Caenorhabditis elegans: one gene and its partners. The protein of the gene in region 2 purifies or fractionates together with the protein of the main gene of each other region. This does not show direct contact. Each region holds a gene or a part of one and is shown on either strand. Other genes may lie near its edges.

Region 1 (5,440 bases), 1.6 Mb from region 2:
TAATGCGAAAATAAAGGGTTTTTATATTTTTATTGTTTACTTGTATTTTTGTTCTTGGTTTTCTGAACTTTCCTTATTTACTTTTCACCTTTTTGAATGATAAATTACTAGAAATTTGGAATTCAAAAGCTTTTTCGATTCCTTGACTTGGCATAGAGCCAGCACACACCTCATAGAATACACCGGAACCCTGGAGACGCAGAGAAACGGCTAGAGACAATAAAAAGCAAAGAGTGTCCGGAGAAGTTTCTCTGTGCCTCGCGTGGGGTTCTTTTCAGTTTCTCTAGTGATATCTCGATTCACAATACTATCTCACTTTCACAAGACCAACGGGGATACCCCGTGGTCGACAAAGTGGGGGGAGTTGAGAGTGAAGAGACGCAGAAAAGATAGACAAACTGGAAGAAGATGAAGAAAAAGGACGATGTAGAAAAGAGGACTTGCTCTTTTTCAAGAGAAAAAGGACAGCTTCTCTATTCTCTCTATTACCCCACGCACACTTTTCAAATTATGCGTACTTTGGGTTTTATTCATATTATATTGCCACGTTTGGGTTTTACCGTACTACTGAAAATTTATTTTAATCTTTAGAGTCTCTCTAGTGCCGCGAGTGACTCGTGTCGAAAATGACGTCACTGCTGTGTGTGCTCTGTGTTTGTGCTTTTGCTTAGGAAAACAATAGGAAACATTATCAAAATTCTAAGATATTTGTTTTTTATAAAGTAAATGAGAATATAGTTTCTCTATTCAACCCATCAGAAGCATTACAATCATTTGGTCTTTGTTTTGTTTTTATTTACTTTCCCACTTCGTTTGAACACTGATGTCTTCCGTTCTTTCACTTTTCTTGACCAAAATCTAGAAATTGCAAAAGTGATCTCTGATCTTCGAATTCTATATTCTGGTCCAATGGAGGATTGATGTTTAATGTTTAGAGAGCAAGAAACATTTTCCAGTTCCTACTTCATTTCCTGGTTTTGATGCGTATAGCATTTCCATGTACTAAGTGTTAAAACACTCACTGGAAAAAGAAAGAATAAATACGTTTTCTGCAAAATCTGTTATATAAAACACGAGAAATTCTATCTGGTGAAGGTTTTCAATTCAAAAATTTCCGAAACTCTGCTTTTCAGAAAATGTTTCCAAATTTACAATGTCCTCTGTAGTTCCAAGTCACAGTTTGATTATTTTCCTGCTAACTCTTTCTTTTCACAAAATCTGAGTTTTCTTACTTATATGAAATTTTCTTTATAATCAAGGGGTATATCTAACAAGGAAGCAAACTATACTCGAAAGAAAGTTTAAATTGCTCCTGCCACGTATCGAGCTCAATAAAGAATCAAATTCCGTTTTACGAGTAGAGATTCAAAGTTCACAAATGACATCAATTCTCGCTTTTCCCCTCTTTTCCTCACTCTCTTTGCCGCCATCATTCTTTTTAATTCTCTCACATGTTTTTCGTGTTTTTTGCTTTTAGATATGATACGGTCTTTTGATACTAATATTGTTTTGAATTCAAATTCTGTATTGGATACGGTACTTTTCATATTACAAAATTTATAAGAGCAAAATGCATAAGAGTAAAAATTTATTTTAATTGTAAGTAATAATTTCAATTGACTAAAATCAGAGTTTTGATTTCAAAAAGCTCTATTAACTCCAGGGTACTGGAAAAAACCAAGCACGTGCCTAATGGAAATTGAGATTAATTGAACGGAGATTTGTAGAAGATTATATTCTCGTGTAGCAGGGATTATTGAGATTTAGGAAGCTTGTATTTTCAGCACTGACCCAGCTCTTATGATGTATATTTTATGAATTTTCTCAAATGCTGAACAATTTTCGGATTTTCTTTTATTTTTTTTTAATCTTAAAACATTTTAAAAATAAATATTCATTGCCACTCTAAAATATTGAACGAATTCAAAAGCCGCGACATTCCTAGCCTGCTATACCCCAATCCCGTTCCATCTTTTTACGGGCCATTTTCCGGCTTCCCTCAAGGCCAATCATGGTCTGTTCATCTATTTTTCTCTACCCTCCATTTCTTACATAATCTCTTTTTCTTATCTCTGCGTCTCTTGTCTCTAATCGTATCAGAACATACACTTGAAGGGCCGATAGGAAGAGGTTTTAGAGAAATCAGAGATAGTAGGTAGAGTGTGGAGACCCAGGCAGTGGTCTTTGGCATCTCTTTTACGTCTCTTCACTCTCTCACTATTTTCGTTCTTTTTCCACTTTTGTTGAATTTTTCGTCTTGTTGTTCCCTCTTGAATTTAAATTTCAGTTTTCTTGAAATTATTTTCTTTTTTGGCTTTTTCTTGTTTCCAATAGTTCAATTTCCAAATTTCAGAATTATATCGAATGGATTAGACGATGGAGAAGCCCAATTACTTTCAGTCGTATAATAAGGTTAACAATTATTTTTTGTTTTCAAATAGAAAATAAAATTGTATTCAAATTTTTTCTAATTAAAAATATTAAAAATATAATTACAAAAAAAACTATTTCGGAACTGAGACTTTCCAACACTGTAAAGTTGAAATTTAACTATTTTTTCTCCTTTATTCTTCAATTCCTTACTAATTCTATTTAAAAGCTTCAGGTGATAGGAGCAACCGGAGAGCAATTGGCTCCCGGAGCAGTACCTCCACATCCTGTACTTGCACCATCAATTGCTCCTGGAGGAGTTGCTGGAGTATCGGCAGCAAACATGGCCAACATTATGCAGACTCCTGGTTTCGCGAATCTCGTTCAGCAGGCTATTCGAACGGTTTGTTAAACAAAAAACATTAAAAATTAAACAAAATTTTAAGGTTTGAAAAGCAGACCAAAAAATTTATCAAACAGAAAATAAACCTAACATTTCTAAAATAGATTACCCAGACGCGAAATTTAGCGATTTTTGTGCTTAAAATACAGAACCCGGTCTCGAAACGACATATATTGATTAAAGTCGAAAAGGTGTGCGCCTTTGAGGAGTACTGTAGTTTCAAATTTTCATTACTGCGAAATTGTCTTGTTTTTTAAATACATTTGAGCTTTTTTTAAAAATTAATAAGTATATTTTCTCGCATTTAATAAACATTTTGCGTGGTGAGACCAGGTAGTTTTTTCTTAAAATATTACCCGAAAAACTCAAAAATCGAGCTAAAATTTTCTAAATGATGAAACATATGTGTAAATACATAAATGTCCTTTCGATTTTATTTTATAGAATAAATGCAATAAAACAAATAAGTGATAAAAAGTTTAAATTATTCAGAACAAAACTTTTTATGCACCAAAAACATGAAAAACAAGAATAAGTCATTTTAATAAATGACGTGATATGCATTCTCTCGTTCTCTTACTGGACATGATGATGATGATGATCTAGAGACTAACATATAAATAGAAACAGACATTGGTCGTATACAAAATTGAGAGAAAAAGAGAAAAAACCGGTTAGATATTAAAGGGGGAGTAGAGTTTGTGGGGAAATATATGTTTCTGACTCTGATTTTGCCCCTGATGCCGAATATCGATGTGAAAAAATTCAAAAAAATTTCCCTGATTTTATAATAATTTTTAAAATCCGAAAATTCATTGGATGCCTATATGTGAGTTTTCAAACGTTGAATTTTCCCGCCAGAGACGCCCCGCCCACGAATCCGTGCCGCAAGTGTGGGTTTACGAGATGAAAATTTTCCTTCTATTTTTATTTGATTTTATACCGATTTTCGTCGATTTTTCTCATTTTTTCGCTGTTTTATATTGAAATTTTTGTTATTTCTCTTAAATTATGCCTTTCTATTGATAAAATACAAAAAATTCCATGGAAAATTCCATTTTCAGCACAAATTCGACGGGAAACAAGGTGGAGGCAACCGCGGACAATAAATCTATTACTTATTCGTGTGTAATGCTTTAGTTTTTTAGACAAGACAAGTAAATTTATTATAAGACTGTTTATATTCAATAAACTTTACAAAAAAACATTTTTGGGAAAAAAAACTACAAAAATCGAAGATAGTCCTCGGGAGCGCGACGAATCAACGTGTTCCGGATAACTGAAATGTTAAATGTTTGTATTAATGTGGAGAACTTTCGTTATTGAGATTTGTAAAGAGACTATTGATAAGCACTAGGATTAAAATAGGAAGTTTAATTTAATTTATTACGATAGTAAGATATTTGCCGAATAAATCGACATACTGATGATTTTTAGGATGTTTTAGGCTTAATTATTTAGCGATTCTTACTTTTCAATTGTTTTTTAAATAATATTTTCTATAAGAAGTACTCACTTTCCAAAAAATCGTCGTGTCTCCGCGATTTTCCTCATTTCCCGTCGAATTTGTGCTGAAAATGGAATTTTTCATGGAATTTTGTGTATTTTATCAATAGAAAGGCATAATTTAAGAGAAATAACAAAAATTTCAATATAAAACAGCGAAAAAATGAGAAAAATCGACGAAAATCGGTATAAAATCAAATAAAAATAGAAGGAAAATTTTCATCTCGTAAACCCACACTTGGGGCACGGTTTCGTGGGCGGGGCGTCTCTGGCGGGAAAATTCAACGTTTGAAAACTCACATATAGGCATCCAATGAATTTTCGGATTTTAAAAATTATTATAAAATCAGGGAAATTTTTTTGAATTTTTTCACATCGATATTCGGCATCAGGGGCAAAATTAGAGTCAGAAACATATATTTCCCCACAAACTCTACTCCCCCTTTAAGAGAGTATTGAACTTTTGGGTCAAGAGAACCTTCAATTGATATATTCTTTTTGCCACATTTGTCACTTTTTCATTATCATCTCAATCTTGTAACCCTAGCTGCCTATCTTAGTGGAGAATGTTTCAAAGAAAAATGGTTCGATTTAGAAAGGTTTGAGCTTTTTTGGTTTTTTTTATGGCGGTTCAAAATTGTGAAAAAGTTTTTCGAAACTTTGAACCGCCATAGAACATTTTTGAAAAGGTATTGAGAATTTTCATTATGAAAATCGTTCATTTGAGCACATTTTAGGTAAAATTACATACAAAATACTCTGAACCGTTAGTCCTCCTTTAAATTAAATTTTGAAAATTTCTGAAATATTGTAGAATGCCAATTGTTTAAGCCTAATTAATAATATTCAGCAACTCGAAAATCAAGCGGCACAGCAGTTAGCAGTCAACCAGCAATTTCAATTAAATGGAGCAACTGCTGTACAACAACAACTTCTTTTGACACCTCAACAGTCACTTGCTCAACCAATTGCTCTTGCACCACAACCTACTGTCGTTTTAAATGGAGTCAGTGAAACATTAAGTGAGTTTTGAGTTTAATTTTGAACAATTGAAAATATAAATTGGTTTACAGAAAAAGTCACTGAATTGGCTCATCGGCAGTTTCAATCAGGAAATTATGTGGAAGCAGAGAAATATTGCAATTTGGTTTTTCAAAGTGA
Region 2 (4,134 bases):
ATCGTGTATTATATCTGGAAAAAGTGTGAATTTTTCAAAAATGACATATTTGGTCATTACGATTCATTTTCTGTCATTAAATTTTTGAAAAATGCTCTAAATACTAATTTTACTTATAACAATTTTATTATTATTTTACAGTGTTTTTTATTCTTCTTCTACGACTTCAAAGGCGCGCGCATTTATACGAAATGGTCTCACCACGCGCCACCCATTGATTTTAAAAAATGTCTTAATGCGCCTTTGAAGTCATAGATGAAAAATAAAAAATAGACTGTATAAAATACTTATTTGTGTCATATATTTAACTTTTTAAAACAATATTTTTCAGCTCACAACTACCGCCCAGGAGAGCAGGATGCATATTTAGATGCTTTTGGAAAGTATAAAAACGAAATGAATCAAAAGAATCCATCAATTGAACTTGTTGGATCATGGACATGTGCTTATGGAAGAACTCGTGATCAGGCAATTCATCTGTGGAGACATAACAAAGGTTATGAAGATGTTGATTCATCGATTTCTCTTCATGGAAAAGATTCTGGAATCCGTGCAGCTGATAATGACGTTGCTAAACTGTGTGGTCGCCGCAAGAATCTCATAGTAAAATCATTCAGCTATTGGAGAGAACCAGAACAACGACCACCAAATCATGTTTATGATCTTCGTTCATATGTTCTTCAACCTGGAACTATGATTGATTGGGCATCTGCATGGGCAAAAGGAATTCAATACAGACGTGAGGCGAATCAAGATGTTGGAGGATTCTTTGCTCAAGTTGGACAACTCTATGTTGTCTATCACATTTGGGCTTATCCATCAATGTCAGGCCGTAACGATACGAGACATGCTACTTGGGCAAAGCCAGGATGGGATGCAACTGTTGCGAATACTGGTTAGTCTGAAATTTGTCTTCTCGAATAATACAAATGAAAAACAAAAAATTGAGAAAAATTAAACAAACTTTTTTGTCAAATTTTAGAAAAAACCCGAAATTTCTGACTTTCCCGCGGGAAACCGGATTTTTGATTATTTTTTACACACTAAAATCTAGAAAATTTCGATTTTTTCTTGTTTTTCCTAATTTTCAAACAAAATGCCATAGGATTTTGAAATTTTCGCAACAAAAAACCGAAAAAATAACCTAAAAATCAGATTTTCTGTTATTTTTAACGGAAACAAATATTTATTTTTTCAGTGCCTCTCATCAAGAAGATGCAATCGAAAATTTTGACTCCAACCAAATATTCTCAACTGGAATAAACATTTCTCATGTTTGTCATAATTCACAAATTGAGAAATTGAATAGGTTAATATAGAAGAAATGCTTGTACGTTTTAATTTTGCCACACACATTTTCATTTTCAAATAGTCAATCGTATATTATATGTACTGGTGTCTGTGCTAATTTTAATTTCTTCCCCTCTCCCGCGTTTTCTCATGTATATTATTTTCCCCTCGAGTTTTTTCCCCACCACATTTTGGTTTCCAGTCTCTTTATAAATATTGCATATACTATTTTATTTTCACTGTTCATTTTTTTTTCACGCGGTTATATTACTTTTTCCGCCATTTGTATCTATTCTAAAAAGTTATTTATTCTGTTCATTTCGTAAACTTGAACTTCTAGAAACTTCATCAATGTCTCGTAATCCATTCGATGATGACTACAGGCCGAGTGCTGCTTCTTCTACAAGTGAGTTTTTAATTCTATTTTTTTACAAATCCATCAGAAAATTTAAAAGCATTATCTAGTACGGAAAAATTCTAGAAAATTGATTTTTCTCTGTTTCAGTGCCCGTAAAAAGTTACACTACGATGGGACATTATTCCGGAGAAGACGAAGCAGACTACTACGAGCGTGAAATCGAGAAAACTCTGCAGGAATCATTGGATAGTACGGAAAGATCTCGTCGTCATCTCGAAAATTCGGAGAAAATCGGAACGTCGACTGCTCAGCAGTTGCTTGAGCAACGGGAGAAGCTTGAGAATACTGAAAAGAATTTAGATGAGATTCATCGAACCACGCAAATGACACAACGCAATTTGAATAGTTTGAAGTCGTTTTTCGGTGGAATGTTCAAAAATAAATTCACGAAGAAACCGCAAGAGCCGACGGAAACTCCGACTGTGAGTTTAACTTTTAAACTGGAATTTTTGTATTCAGAAACTACAAAGTACTATAGGATTTCTGTAGTCTCAAAGAACACGAGTTTTGAGTTTTTGGAGAGTTGATAAATTTCTAATATTAAAAAATGGAGCATTGTTTTTGAATAAAGAAAGCGTTCAAAATCTTACATAATTTTAGTAGAATATAACATTTGGAACTACTGGAATCATTTTATTTTCGATATAAAAATTAATAATTTTCCGAGAATATACCATAATACGTCATAAAATTGATATATTTATAGGTCCCGCAATCCAAATCAGCATCCCGTTTGTCGGAAACCGCTACCAACCTCTCCAGCGGTGGTGGATCCGCAACATTCTCTGGACCATCTGGACAACGAACCTTGACCGAATCTAGTCGTTCGGCAATTAAAGGTACACGTTGGGAAGCTATGGATAATCAAATTGATGAGAATCTTGACATGATGTCCGCCAATCTTCGGAACTTGCAACGTCTTGGAGCCGATCTCGGAAAAGAGGTCGATTCACAAAATGAGATGCTCGATCGTATTCAATACAAAGCTGAACGTAACGATGGAATTGTTAGAGATCAGGATAAACAAGTAAGGATAAACAAGATACACGATAAATATATTAAGAGTTAACTCAACTAACTGACATATTTTCAGATGCAAAAGATTCTGGGAACTGGTGCATCAACAAGCCAAACTACAGCCGAGTCTCTGACCCCAAGCATGGATACTTCGACAAAGATGTCTCTCATGATGAAGGCCACGTCTTTGTGGAAATGATTGATTTTTTACTTTTTTTTCTTCCGGCTCACCGTCCTCTAGTGCAACAAAAACACTTCAATTCCCCTAAACTTACCTTATTTAAAAGTTTATTTCTTGTTCCAACACTCCACTTAGAGTTAAATCTCTGAACTTGAATCTAACACGTTTCTATCATTTATGTTCTTTCTTTGAGAAAATTGGTTCATAAATTGATGTGAAAAAAATTAGAAAAAAAAAAGAAAAATGTGATAGATCCAACCTCGAATTCCCCTTTGAACTTTCTATATTAACTTTAAATGTATAATCTGGATGCTTTTGTGTGTGGATGTCGCTTGTGAATATGTACATGAATATTGATTCCATGGAAATTGTCTTCATTTTTAAGTAACAGTCTTGAGGGGAAATATTATGACATTCATAAATATTAGGAAGAATATGTATTTACATTATGAGAATTCGTTCAGAAAAGCAAGAGGCGACTGTTTTTTGAGTTGTGAAATGTATTTTTGTGACGTATAGATTTTTGAGATGGACTAGAAAACTGGAAAAAGTTTTGGCTAAGACCACCGGGAATTTTAAGAAATGGAAAATGAAATGGTTAGAATGAGAGAGGATCAGAGAACGCGAGAAGAAAAATATTGGGAGATTGGATGAAATGGAAATATTTGCTTTGTTTTAATACAAAAGTGATATTATGGAGGCGTAGAAAATGAGAACTTTTGAATCGAGGTGCAACTGCGCTCCATTGGCAAATGAAAACGCTCCGCCCTCAACAGTTCGGTCTCGTTAGGAAAACCGAAAATTTGAACGTTTTTAAACATTCGATGTTGATGAAATTATTAAAATGATTGAAACGTTTAATTTCACATACATTTTTAACTATAACTGCTTGAAAAAGTTTGAATTACGGTTTTACCTAACGAGACCCAACGTTTAGGGGCGGAGAGTTGTTTATTTAGCCGTGGAACGTGCTTGCACTTTGATTTCAAACATCGCATTTTTCTGCGCCTCAATATACAATATACTTTGTATATGAAACAAAAAAGAAAAATCCTTCAAATTGAGTTTCTTCAGATAACCATCCGACAATCGGTATTCCGAATATCAACAGCCAACTCCTGGAGCACTTTTGTCAGTGTTTTGAGACGATCAGCTGTTGAATCAAGACGTTGATTAATTATTGCATTGAGACTTGAAACTGCATATGCATCAATTGATTCTTGTAGTT
Region 3 (4,444 bases), on a different chromosome or scaffold from region 2:
CAAAGTCGGATGGACCAATCGGACTCTACAGGTATTTTTTCTATTTAGAAAATTTAAAAAATTATTATTTTTTCAGAGGTTTCTTTGTCTCGGTACAAGGTATCATCATCTACCGCGCCGCTTACTTCGGAATGTTCGACACTGCCAAGATGGTGTTCACTGCTGATGGCAAGAAACTCAACTTCTTCGCTGCCTGGGCTATTGCTCAAGTGGTTACTGTTGGATCTGGAATCCTCTCCTATCCATGGGATACTGTTCGTCGTCGCATGATGATGCAGTCTGGTCGCAAAGATGTTCTCTACAAGAATACTTTGGATTGTGCCGTCAAGATCATCAAAAACGAAGGAATGTCCGCCATGTTCAAGGGAGCCCTGTCAAATGTATTCCGTGGAACTGGTGGAGCACTCGTTCTTGCCATCTACGATGAAATCCAAAAGTTCATTTAATGATCTTCAATTGTTTTTGTATTTTTATTTAGTAAAATTATTTTAATTGAAATCGTTTTGTTACTCAAAAAGAGAAACTCTTTTCATGAAAAAATCAATGAACTACGGTCATTTTTGGTCTCTCTGAACAATGAGGAAACCAATGAGGAAAAACAATGTACTTATTTGATATTTAAAATAACCTACGATCTAGACTATTTCTCAATTTTATTTAATTACCAGTTAGTCAAAATTAGGGTTTCCATCAATTTAGCTCTGAAATTGAGCTTGTGAGCCAAAACTGTTCCGATATTGGCAGAAAAACGTTTATTCGTATAAATACTGTAGAAACTTGGAAAAATAATCGAAAAAAAATCACAAAAAATAGACCCGAAGGAATTAAAATAGCATTATTTCCAACCCGGGATGATTGCACCGAGGAAATGGGAGAGAAGGTAGACGACAACGAGCAGGAGCACGATCAGCGCGATGCACGTAACGATCTTCCATTTACGGTTCTTCCGACGCAGCACAACAGCCTGCCGCACGTTCTGCTGGGCTTGCTCCGCATATTCTTCGGCGCGTATCACGCTCGTCTCGATTCGGTCCACTGTTTCGCCTGAAAATTTAATACTTCGCGGTTTTTCAGGGAAGGTACTGAGCGCCTAGCAAAACTGGGACCTCTTGTTTTCGAAGATCTTAATCCTTTCTAATGCCCGCTAGATTTTGTAAAATTGGGAAAGAAAGAAAAGATTTTAGGGCAAGAGCTATGTGTATTAATTAAGCGAGTTTCAGTTAACAAAACATCAATAACTCACCTTGGCTTTGTACCAATAATTGCATATCCACAAAGAGTTCTTCGACCTCGCGAATTTGTTTCTCCAAAATCATAATATCCGTGGCGCGGTTTTTCATATCATCGAATAGTGCCTTCTTCTGCGCAACACCCAGATTAATGTTTCTCGTCAATTGAAAGAGGCTCCCGTTTTCGATGGCACCATCAATTTCCGAATCCGTCACCTCGATGTTCTGCTTTCGGAGGTATGCGGCAATCTTCTTTGCTGCCTCTGCTTTGTAGGAGGCTTGATCATCAGCAAACTGCGACATTATTCCTTCCAGCGAGACGATAAGCATTTGGATCTTAAAAATCAGGAATTAGCGGTTTCGGTTATTCATTTAAAATTTATGATTTTTTTTTCGAGAAAAGGTTGAAAAGAATTAAAATTAGTGTAAATTTGGTCACCGATTTTAGATCTAAGTTCGTTTATTTTCAGACAATTAAGCACCTGTTCGTGTCTTGCTCGCCCCGAGCCCACTCGACTCTCCGGATACTGTACCAGCTCCTCTGAGGCGTCAGCGAGCCGACGACGGATGCCACGTGCTTGAGCTATGAACTTATCCACGTGGTCGTTGAGTTTTCGGCACTTTGCTGTGTCCGAACAGCCGGCTGCCAGTGACTCTACCTGCAATTAGTGGTTTTTGGATGATTTGGCTAAAAGTCGAAAATTTTAATGTTTTGTTTTTTTGTTTTTTTTTGTTTTTTTTTTCGTGAAAGCTTTTAGTTAAAAACAAAGAAAAACATTAGTTTTCAATAAATATTTGATTTTCCGAATATTTTTAAAATTGGAATCAAACTTCGGATTTTTTGAGCATTATTTCTGATTTGTCACAGTTTCTTTTCTCTCTTTACCTGCTCCATGTAAATTGCGTGTCGATCTGCGCTCAGCGTAGTCAAGACATGACGAATTTCGTCGACATTCGCCAGAAATTGTTGCAATGAGACGTCTGCCAACTGAAAAAAAAACATTATTTTCAAGTTTTTGGAAAGAAAAATATAATTTATGTCAAAAATCTTCTTGTATATTAGTTGTTTCCATTTATTCTACCTTTGAATTGTTTTTCTCCGGACTTGCAGCGTTGATTCCAGAGATTTGGTGCATTTCGAATAGACGGTCCCGAGTAGCCATTCTGGAAATTTCGATTTTTACCAAAACAATCGAATTTTAGTGCGATACACGCAAATAGTGGTTTTTTAGGAAACGTTTTTTAGAAAGGCATTGAAATTTAAGCGAAGCTTGAGAAAAAAGAACAAAAATACGATTAAATTTAAAAAAAGTCAATTATGGTTTACGCTAAACAGGGCGCGCCTCCGGTATATCGGAGTCTCGTCGTACTGTAGTTTTGGCTTTAAAAAATTGAAATTTTTTATTTGACTTTTGTGAGATTTTTTGAACAAATATTTAAAGATTATGGAGCTTAAAGCAAAAAAAAAGCACAAAAATTGGAAAACAATTAAACTAGAATATTTTTGAACTTTCGGGAATTCTCCATTGCTCGTTTGTTCCCGACGAACCTCTCTCATTCCTTGGGTTGGTCCCTCGCGAAATCGACATTTGATTTTCCAGACATCTGAAATTTATTTTGCAATTTTTCCAAAAAAATATTTCCATATTTAAGCAAACCGTTTCAAAATTTTCTTCCAGATTATTTCAAATGTTCTTTGTACCATGTTGTTTATTTCAAATTTAAAGATAAGATGCACCTTTTCCTAACATCTGATGTTTTCGTTGACAAAACAAAACATGAATAAAGCAATGTTCCAAGTTGTCATGGACACCCACAATTAACAACAAAGAAAAATATAATAGAAGAGATAAGAGAGATAAATAGTGTTTACACCAGACAAAAGGTGTCATCACAGCTGGTTTGGGTGGCCTGTCGAGGACAAAATTTGCTGTGTCGACTCAAAATATTGGCTAGAAATAATTAAGATTATCTTCAAGTTGCTATTACTTCACATCACCTTGTTTCCAACCATGACAGTTCAAGTGGAAATAAAAAACAGAAACAAGCAACTTTTATACTTTTCCAATTAAAATTAAATTTACTCACCTGAAGATCTTCTCAAATAAATTTATTGAATTAATATGGTTAGTATTAGGTCTCCAAATAAGTTCCGGGTCAAAAATCATAACTTTGTTCGCTGCTTATCGATTTTTATGAAACTGTGGGAATTTATGTTATCAACCATGGTCTTTCATTTGAAAATAGTCACAAAAGTTTTTGACCACCCCAAGTGCACTAACTCGGAGCCAATTTTTTCAGGCATTTTTCTGATATCGCTTCTTTTCAGCTTTGAATTGAGGGTTGTGTGCGGATTTTGCTTTGTTAAGAATACATTATTAGAAAACGACAAAAGTTTGGAAAAAAATCCGTCCAAAAAAATTTTTTTGGTTGGTCGTCAAAAAATCTTCGAAAAAATTTTTTGTCGAAAATTCCTGATTTTTCCTACAAAAATGATGTAACCAAGTGTAAACTATTTTTACACATACAAAACATATCAGTTTAGTTCGAAACACTAAAATGGTAATAGAAAAAAATAATTTTTTCGGATAATTTTTGAGTTTTTTGAATATTTCTTGAGATTCAAACTTCAAACTCAAATGACTTTTATGTGTAAAAATAGTTTACACTTGGTTACATCATTTTTGTAGGAAAAATCAAGAATTTTCTCCAAATGCATTTGCGTCGCGCCTAGGCTCTATTCCATTCGACACCCTCTTCCCCCCAACTTGACCTCCAGGACTATGGCTGGTCCGGCTGGTCATTTCACTTATTTGTTCACACATCTGTTTCACACATCTCTACTTTTTTTTTATCTTCCGGTGTAACTCTTTCTTGTGACAAATAAACAATATTATTATTCGACAAAAAAATTTTTGAAGATTTTTTGATGACCAACCAAAAAAAATTTTTTTGGATGGATTTTTTCCAAACTTTTGTCGGTTTGTAATAATCTATTCTAAACAAAGCAAAATCCAAACACAACCCTCAATTCAAAGCTGAAAAGAACCGAGATCTGAAAAATGCCTGAAAAAATTGGCTCCGAGTTAGAACACTTGGGGTGGTCAAAAACTTTTGTGACTATTGTCAAATGAAAGATCATGGTTGGAACATAAATTCCCTCAGTTTCATAAAAATCGATACGCAGCGAACAAAGTTATGATTTTTGACCCGGA
Region 4 (5,148 bases), on a different chromosome or scaffold from region 2:
CTCAAATGCTTTAGTTAATTTTTTCAAAATAAAAAAATCAATTAAATCATATAAATTTTGAAAAATAGTGTACCAACAATGAAAGATCGATGAAATTAAAAAATTACAGTCCTCATTAGAGGCACACATCCGCTTGTATTTGACAAGAAGTGTCGTGTCGAGACCGAGTTATGTGCTTTTAGCGCGAAAATTGCTAAATTTCGCATATGGCATATAATTGCATCTACATTTACTTTAACCAAACTAATTTTCATACGTACACTTGCACTTACTCTTCATCGTGTACTTCTTTTTCTTCAGCAAACTTTGCTCCTTGAGCTTCTAGCACTAAAATTTAATAATTTATAAACATTAGAAAGTTATAAACAGATTTGCATACCTAATAGAAGGAATACAGTTGAGATGAATAAAAATCCACGCATTATAGAGTGGGAATATGTATAAAATCAATAGAAATAGACAGAAAACTCTTTTTCTCAAGACTGCCAAATGTCAATATTTTATTATCAGTCTCCCCCTGCTTCGCCTTTTAGTTCCAACGCAAAATTTGGTAGTGCAAAAGCAAAAGCAAACATGAATTTTATTGTTACAGGTGCTAAATACAAATTTTCATTTGTTTTTATTCGATCTCAACTAACTATAAGATAAACCAATAAATTATGCTTTTTACAAATGGGTTTCGAAAAATCATCACAACTTGAGAAATGATGGGGAAAATGCAAAATTGGAAAAATAACTAAAGTTGTAGGACTGGGAAATGGGGAGGGTGTCTGACTATTATGTACCAGTTAAAGTGTTAAAAGTGACGAGGATAGTATGATAAAATGATTTGTTACAGCAGTCGATATAACCCATCAAAAGACGTAGAATGTTAATAAAACATTGAAAACTTTGGAAACGAGGAATTGGAAATTATGGCTATTAATTAGATCGTTGTCCTAATCAGAATTCTCGATTATTGTGTGCCACCAGCTTTCTGCATTTGTTCCTGGTGAGATCTTGCTTGATCTTCTCGAAGCTTTTGTGCTTTGAGGAACTCTCCGTAGTCGATGAAGCCATCAGCATTGAAATCGTCGTCCCTGAAAATATTCAGTAAAGTATTTTTTTAAGACTTTGAATATTTTAGTGCTTTCTTATGCTAATTGCTAGCAGTAGTCTCTAGAAAATAAATTAATTAAATATATATCTCACTTTAAAATACTATCAATCATCGTCTCCAATTCAACTTCACTTGGGAGTGGTGGTGGCTGATGATTGGCATTGGCATTATTTTGTGTATGCTGTGGTCCTGGATTCTCGGCATGGAAATGCGTTATTGCCTTAATCAACTCGACTCCATCCAGTTTCCCATTTTTATCTAAATCGTGCATATTGAAATAATGGAATTGAAGTTGTTCTGGCGTCATGTTAGCAGTTGGGTCCACTTTTCCGTCCAAATGTTCTTTTATGTGGCTGAAATGTTTTAAATTAATTTTGAAAATTGTTATTAAAACTTACTGTTCATCTCTGGCCTGTTCTCCACCAAACTGCTGTTGCCCAGGCTGAGCATGTTGAGCTTGTTCCGCTTGGCCACCCTGATTTATTCAATACAATTTACAAAATTAAAGAAGCTTTAAAATAATAAAAATCACTGTATCCAGATTGTTTTTCAGTTCAATTTCTAGCGAAAATAATTTTCTTATTATTCTTTACAAACATTGTTTACCTGTTGTGGTTGCTGTTGATTAGAACCAGGAAACTGCTGTGGTTGGTGGGCAAAGGAACCAAGAATGAGGCAAGATACCACCAAAATGTTGGCTGCCATTCCTGTAATATTATAATCACTAAAATATAGACAAAACTAAGTAAGAATACAGAAAACGGAATCAAAAACGGAAGCGTGAAGTGGAAGCTGTTATTTTATTTGTGTCGATTTACGGGGAGATACGGTAATCGGGAGGCAACGTGTTCCAAATCTTACGGTAATCGCTGAAATTTCTTAAAACAATAAATCGAAACGAAAAGTTATGTGTATTTTTTTAATAAAATTAACTTGACTGAGCATTTTGGTTGAGAAATATAAAACTTAAACTGAAAATTAAACAAAAAAAAAAGAAAAACTAGTGCATTGAGGAGCGTGTTTGTTGCGCATAAAATACGCAACGCCACGCACAACCTCCGACCACACATTGATTTTCTTCTCCACGAAGTCGAGCCGGTTTAGTGGACTGTTGCGACAATGCAGCGAAATATTTGTTATTTGTTTTTCTTTTGAAATAATATTTTTACCGTGACATTTGAATATATTAATCTTTTCGACGCTTTCAGTCATTTAAACAATATTTTTCAGTTTGTTCGATGTCGGATGTCGGACTTTCACAACATTAGATCTCGTCGACGAATACCAGAAGCCAGTTCTTACTCAACAGTCGATTTTGATTACGATCCAGATCAGAAGAATCACACTTCAGCAGTTGCTCCGACTAGTTTCGCGTATAGCTCTCTCACAACCGTTTTCAACGCGTCAGCTTCACAACTTTGGAATTCTGCGCAGGTTTGTCTATCGGAACGAAGAAAGATGGCTATCTGTATATTTCTGGTTTTTATTTTTTCATGCATATATCTTTCAGGAGGCGCTTGTATCCTCCTACGACACAGCGGAAGGCACTGAAAGCATAGACGCAGATCGATCAAAGGTAGTAGAAACACTTGAATCGCTGAGTATTTTTGGAAATCCACTTGATCATATCATTATCACAATGCCATCAAGAGATCGAACTTCGGAATTCCGGGCGACAGCCAAATCATACGAAGTGAGTTTTTTCATTAAACTTCTAAAAATAAGCTTTTATTTCGAAACATTTACTTTTAAAACGTGTTATTCGGGTTTCACATCAACATTTGGACGAGACGAATATATCGATTTTTGCGAAACTCGAAATACACTTCGAACAGAAAAAAGAAACACGAATCACCTGTTAATATTTTTAAAAACATTCTAGGCGATAATATTTTTATTATTTATATAAAATTCGGGTAACATATAATTTTTCAGATGAAAGCAGCCGCAAATGGAATTAGACCTCAACCAAAGCATGAGATGCTATCTGAATCCGTGCAGTTCAATCAACTCGCAAAGCGAATCGGAAAAGAATTGAGTCAAACGTGTGCAAAAATGGAAAAACTTGCCGAATATGCTAAGAAAAAGAGCTGCTATGAAGAACGATCTCAAATTGACCATCTTTCATCAATTGTCAAGTCTGACATTACGGGTTTGAACAAACAGATCGGACAACTTCAAGAATTTTCAAAAAGACGTGCAGGAAACATGAAAAATCAAAATAGTGGACATATACAATTAGTTGTAGTTGGATTGCAGTCAAAATTAGCGAATGTCGGAAAAGATTATCAAAGCGTACTGGAAATTAGTACAGAAACAATGAAGGCTGAAAAAAATCGCCGAGATAAATTCTCGAGTGGTGCAGCAGTTCCAATGGGACTTCCTTCCTCCTCTTCCGGAGCTAATGGTATTTTATTTTCCTCGCTCATTCAATAAAAATCTGAAATTTTAGTTCGTTCAAAGCTTCTTCAAGATGATGAGCAGCATGGCTCCTCAAGCATAGCTCTGGATATGGGTGCTCTGTCAAACATGCAATCACAACAGACTATGGTAAGTTTTCAATTTGAAAAATATGAAATTTTTTTTGAAAAACTATCAATATTAAATTTCCAATGCTCCGTGTTTAGGAGAAGTACAGTGAAACTTTTTTTAAAAATTAATATTTTTTGCCAATAAAGCAAGTTTTATCGAAACTAATTTAGAACAGCAAAGAATACATTTGAAAAATTGCGATGTTACAAAAAATTTGTAAGATTTCTATGATTTTAGTTAGGAAATGTTAATATTTTCTTTGGAATTCGTTTTTTTCTTTAAAAATTTAAAAATTATATTTCTAATAGTATTAACCAAAAATTATGACTTGATAGAATATTGTAGACATTTTTGAGCGTTTATTGAAAACATAAAAATCGTGAAAACTGTAAATTGCTCAAAAATCAAACAAAAAAATAGATAGAATATAGTTAGTTTTTTTAAACACTTTCCAAGAAACAAATATTTTCAGCAACAAAGAGATTCATCATTGGAATATGCGCAAGCCCGTAGCAACACCATGGCGACAATTGAAGGATCCATCTCCGAACTTGGCCAAATTTTCTCTCAACTGGCTTCACTCGTCAGTGAGCAAGGAGAGATGATAACAAGAATCGATTCAAATGTTGAAGATACAGCTCTTAATATTGATATGGCACATTCAGAGCTTGTGAGATATCTTCAAAATATTAGCAAAAATCGATGGTTAATGATTCAAGTTTTTGGAGTTCTCATGGTTTTCTTTGTTGTATTTGTTCTTTTCCTCACCTAAACATTTCCATTTTTCATTGGTTCTTTTTTTTTCCGTGATTGCTGACTTGTTTGAATGTGTCTATTGTAAAAAAAGTGGAAAAGTAAATTCAAATTGCTTCTCCTATCACCTATAATCATTATTTTCCTCTACTATTATTTCCATGAATTAGCTTTTACTTCTCTGTCTTGACCCGGAAATTGATGGTAGAACTCCGCCTGTGATTAAAATCTTCTCTATTTTTAGCATAAAGCTTTTTAAATTTTAATCAAAACTATTCATATTATTTCTTATATTCATGGTATTTTGAACCAACTCTTACTTCTTATTATTATTATTATTGTAATTTTTTGGTTCATAATTATTTTCAGATCCCTCGGAATTCAGATGAGGGTATCAGCTGGACTAATGATTGGTGGCTCGTGTGTGGCGACTGCGGCCACCATACTCAACGCGTTCCTGATCAACAAACAGTTCTATCCATCAATCGTATATCTCTCAAAAAGCAATGCAAGTATGGCAGTGATATATGTTCAAGGAATTGTTCTTGTATATCTCATGTTCCAATTGCTCAAGTCTATTTTATTCGGAGATTTGAGAGCTGCAGAGGCTGAGGTAATTTTCAATATTAAATCAGTACTGAACATAAATAAATTTCAGCATCTGTCAGAACGTACATGGCATGCAGTTCTGGAAACATGTCTCGCATTCACTGTATTCCGTGATGATTTCTCAGCAATATTCGTTATGCAATTTATTGGTCTTC

What was found.
Region 1: the proteins of snap-29 (region 2) and ogt-1 purify together in Caenorhabditis elegans (co-purification; one study listed by BioGRID). This does not show direct contact.
Region 3: the proteins of snap-29 (region 2) and syx-4 purify together in Caenorhabditis elegans (affinity purification with western blotting, with the first as the bait; one study listed by BioGRID). This does not show direct contact.
Region 4: the proteins of snap-29 (region 2) and syx-5 purify together in Caenorhabditis elegans (affinity purification with western blotting, with the first as the bait; one study listed by BioGRID). This does not show direct contact.

Annotation. Positions count from the first base shown.
Region 1 is NC_003281.10:7,150,707-7,156,146, reverse strand, and holds the start of ogt-1 (UDP-N-acetylglucosamine--peptide N-acetylglucosaminyltransferase), read left to right. Parts: upstream 1-2,349; 5' UTR 2,350-2,376; coding exon 2,377-2,412; intron 2,413-2,605; coding exon 2,606-2,773; intron 2,774-5,129; coding exon 5,130-5,301; intron 5,302-5,352; coding exon 5,353-5,440. UniProt on the Caenorhabditis elegans protein: Addition of nucleotide-activated sugars directly onto the polypeptide through O-glycosidic linkage with the hydroxyl of serine or threonine. Influences tap habituation in the mechanosensory neurons cell autonomously.
Region 2 is NC_003281.10:8,774,625-8,778,758, forward strand, and holds snap-29 (Soluble NSF attachment protein 29), read left to right. Parts: upstream 1-1,628; 5' UTR 1,629-1,641; coding exon 1,642-1,696; exon of another isoform or gene 1,697-1,752; intron 1,753-1,795; coding exon 1,796-2,130; intron 2,131-2,414; coding exon 2,415-2,735; intron 2,736-2,801; coding exon 2,802-2,924; 3' UTR 2,925-3,271; downstream 3,272-4,134. Other genes in the region: Putative NipSnap protein K02D10.1, read left to right, coding at 332-895, 1,199-1,263; K02D10.4 (uncharacterized protein), read right to left, coding at 3,977-4,134. UniProt on the Caenorhabditis elegans protein: SNAREs, soluble N-ethylmaleimide-sensitive factor-attachment protein receptors, are essential proteins for fusion of cellular membranes.
Region 3 is NC_003282.8:8,455,229-8,459,672, reverse strand, and holds syx-4 (Putative syntaxin-4), read right to left. Parts: upstream 2,394-4,444; 5' UTR 2,393-2,393; coding exon 2,312-2,392; intron 2,218-2,311; coding exon 2,116-2,217; intron 1,889-2,115; coding exon 1,712-1,888; intron 1,566-1,711; coding exon 1,244-1,565; intron 1,045-1,243; coding exon 836-1,044; 3' UTR 740-835; downstream 1-739. Other genes in the region: ant-1.4 (ADP/ATP translocase), read left to right, coding at 1-31, 77-446. UniProt on the Caenorhabditis elegans protein: Potentially involved in docking of synaptic vesicles at presynaptic active zones.
Region 4 is NC_003283.11:11,762,575-11,767,722, forward strand, and holds syx-5 (Putative syntaxin-5), read left to right. Parts: upstream 1-2,329; 5' UTR 2,330-2,344; coding exon 2,345-2,533; intron 2,534-2,609; coding exon 2,610-2,792; intron 2,793-3,034; coding exon 3,035-3,506; intron 3,507-3,551; coding exon 3,552-3,649; intron 3,650-4,103; coding exon 4,104-4,403; 3' UTR 4,404-4,648; downstream 4,649-5,148. Other genes in the region: T04F3.4 (EF-hand domain-containing protein), read right to left, coding at 273-327, 380-422; F55A11.1 (EF-hand domain-containing protein), read right to left, coding at 956-1,079, 1,192-1,452, 1,498-1,574, 1,706-1,804; sel-11 (E3 ubiquitin-protein ligase hrd-1), read left to right, coding at 4,770-4,997, 5,043-5,148. UniProt on the Caenorhabditis elegans protein: Potentially involved in docking of synaptic vesicles at presynaptic active zones.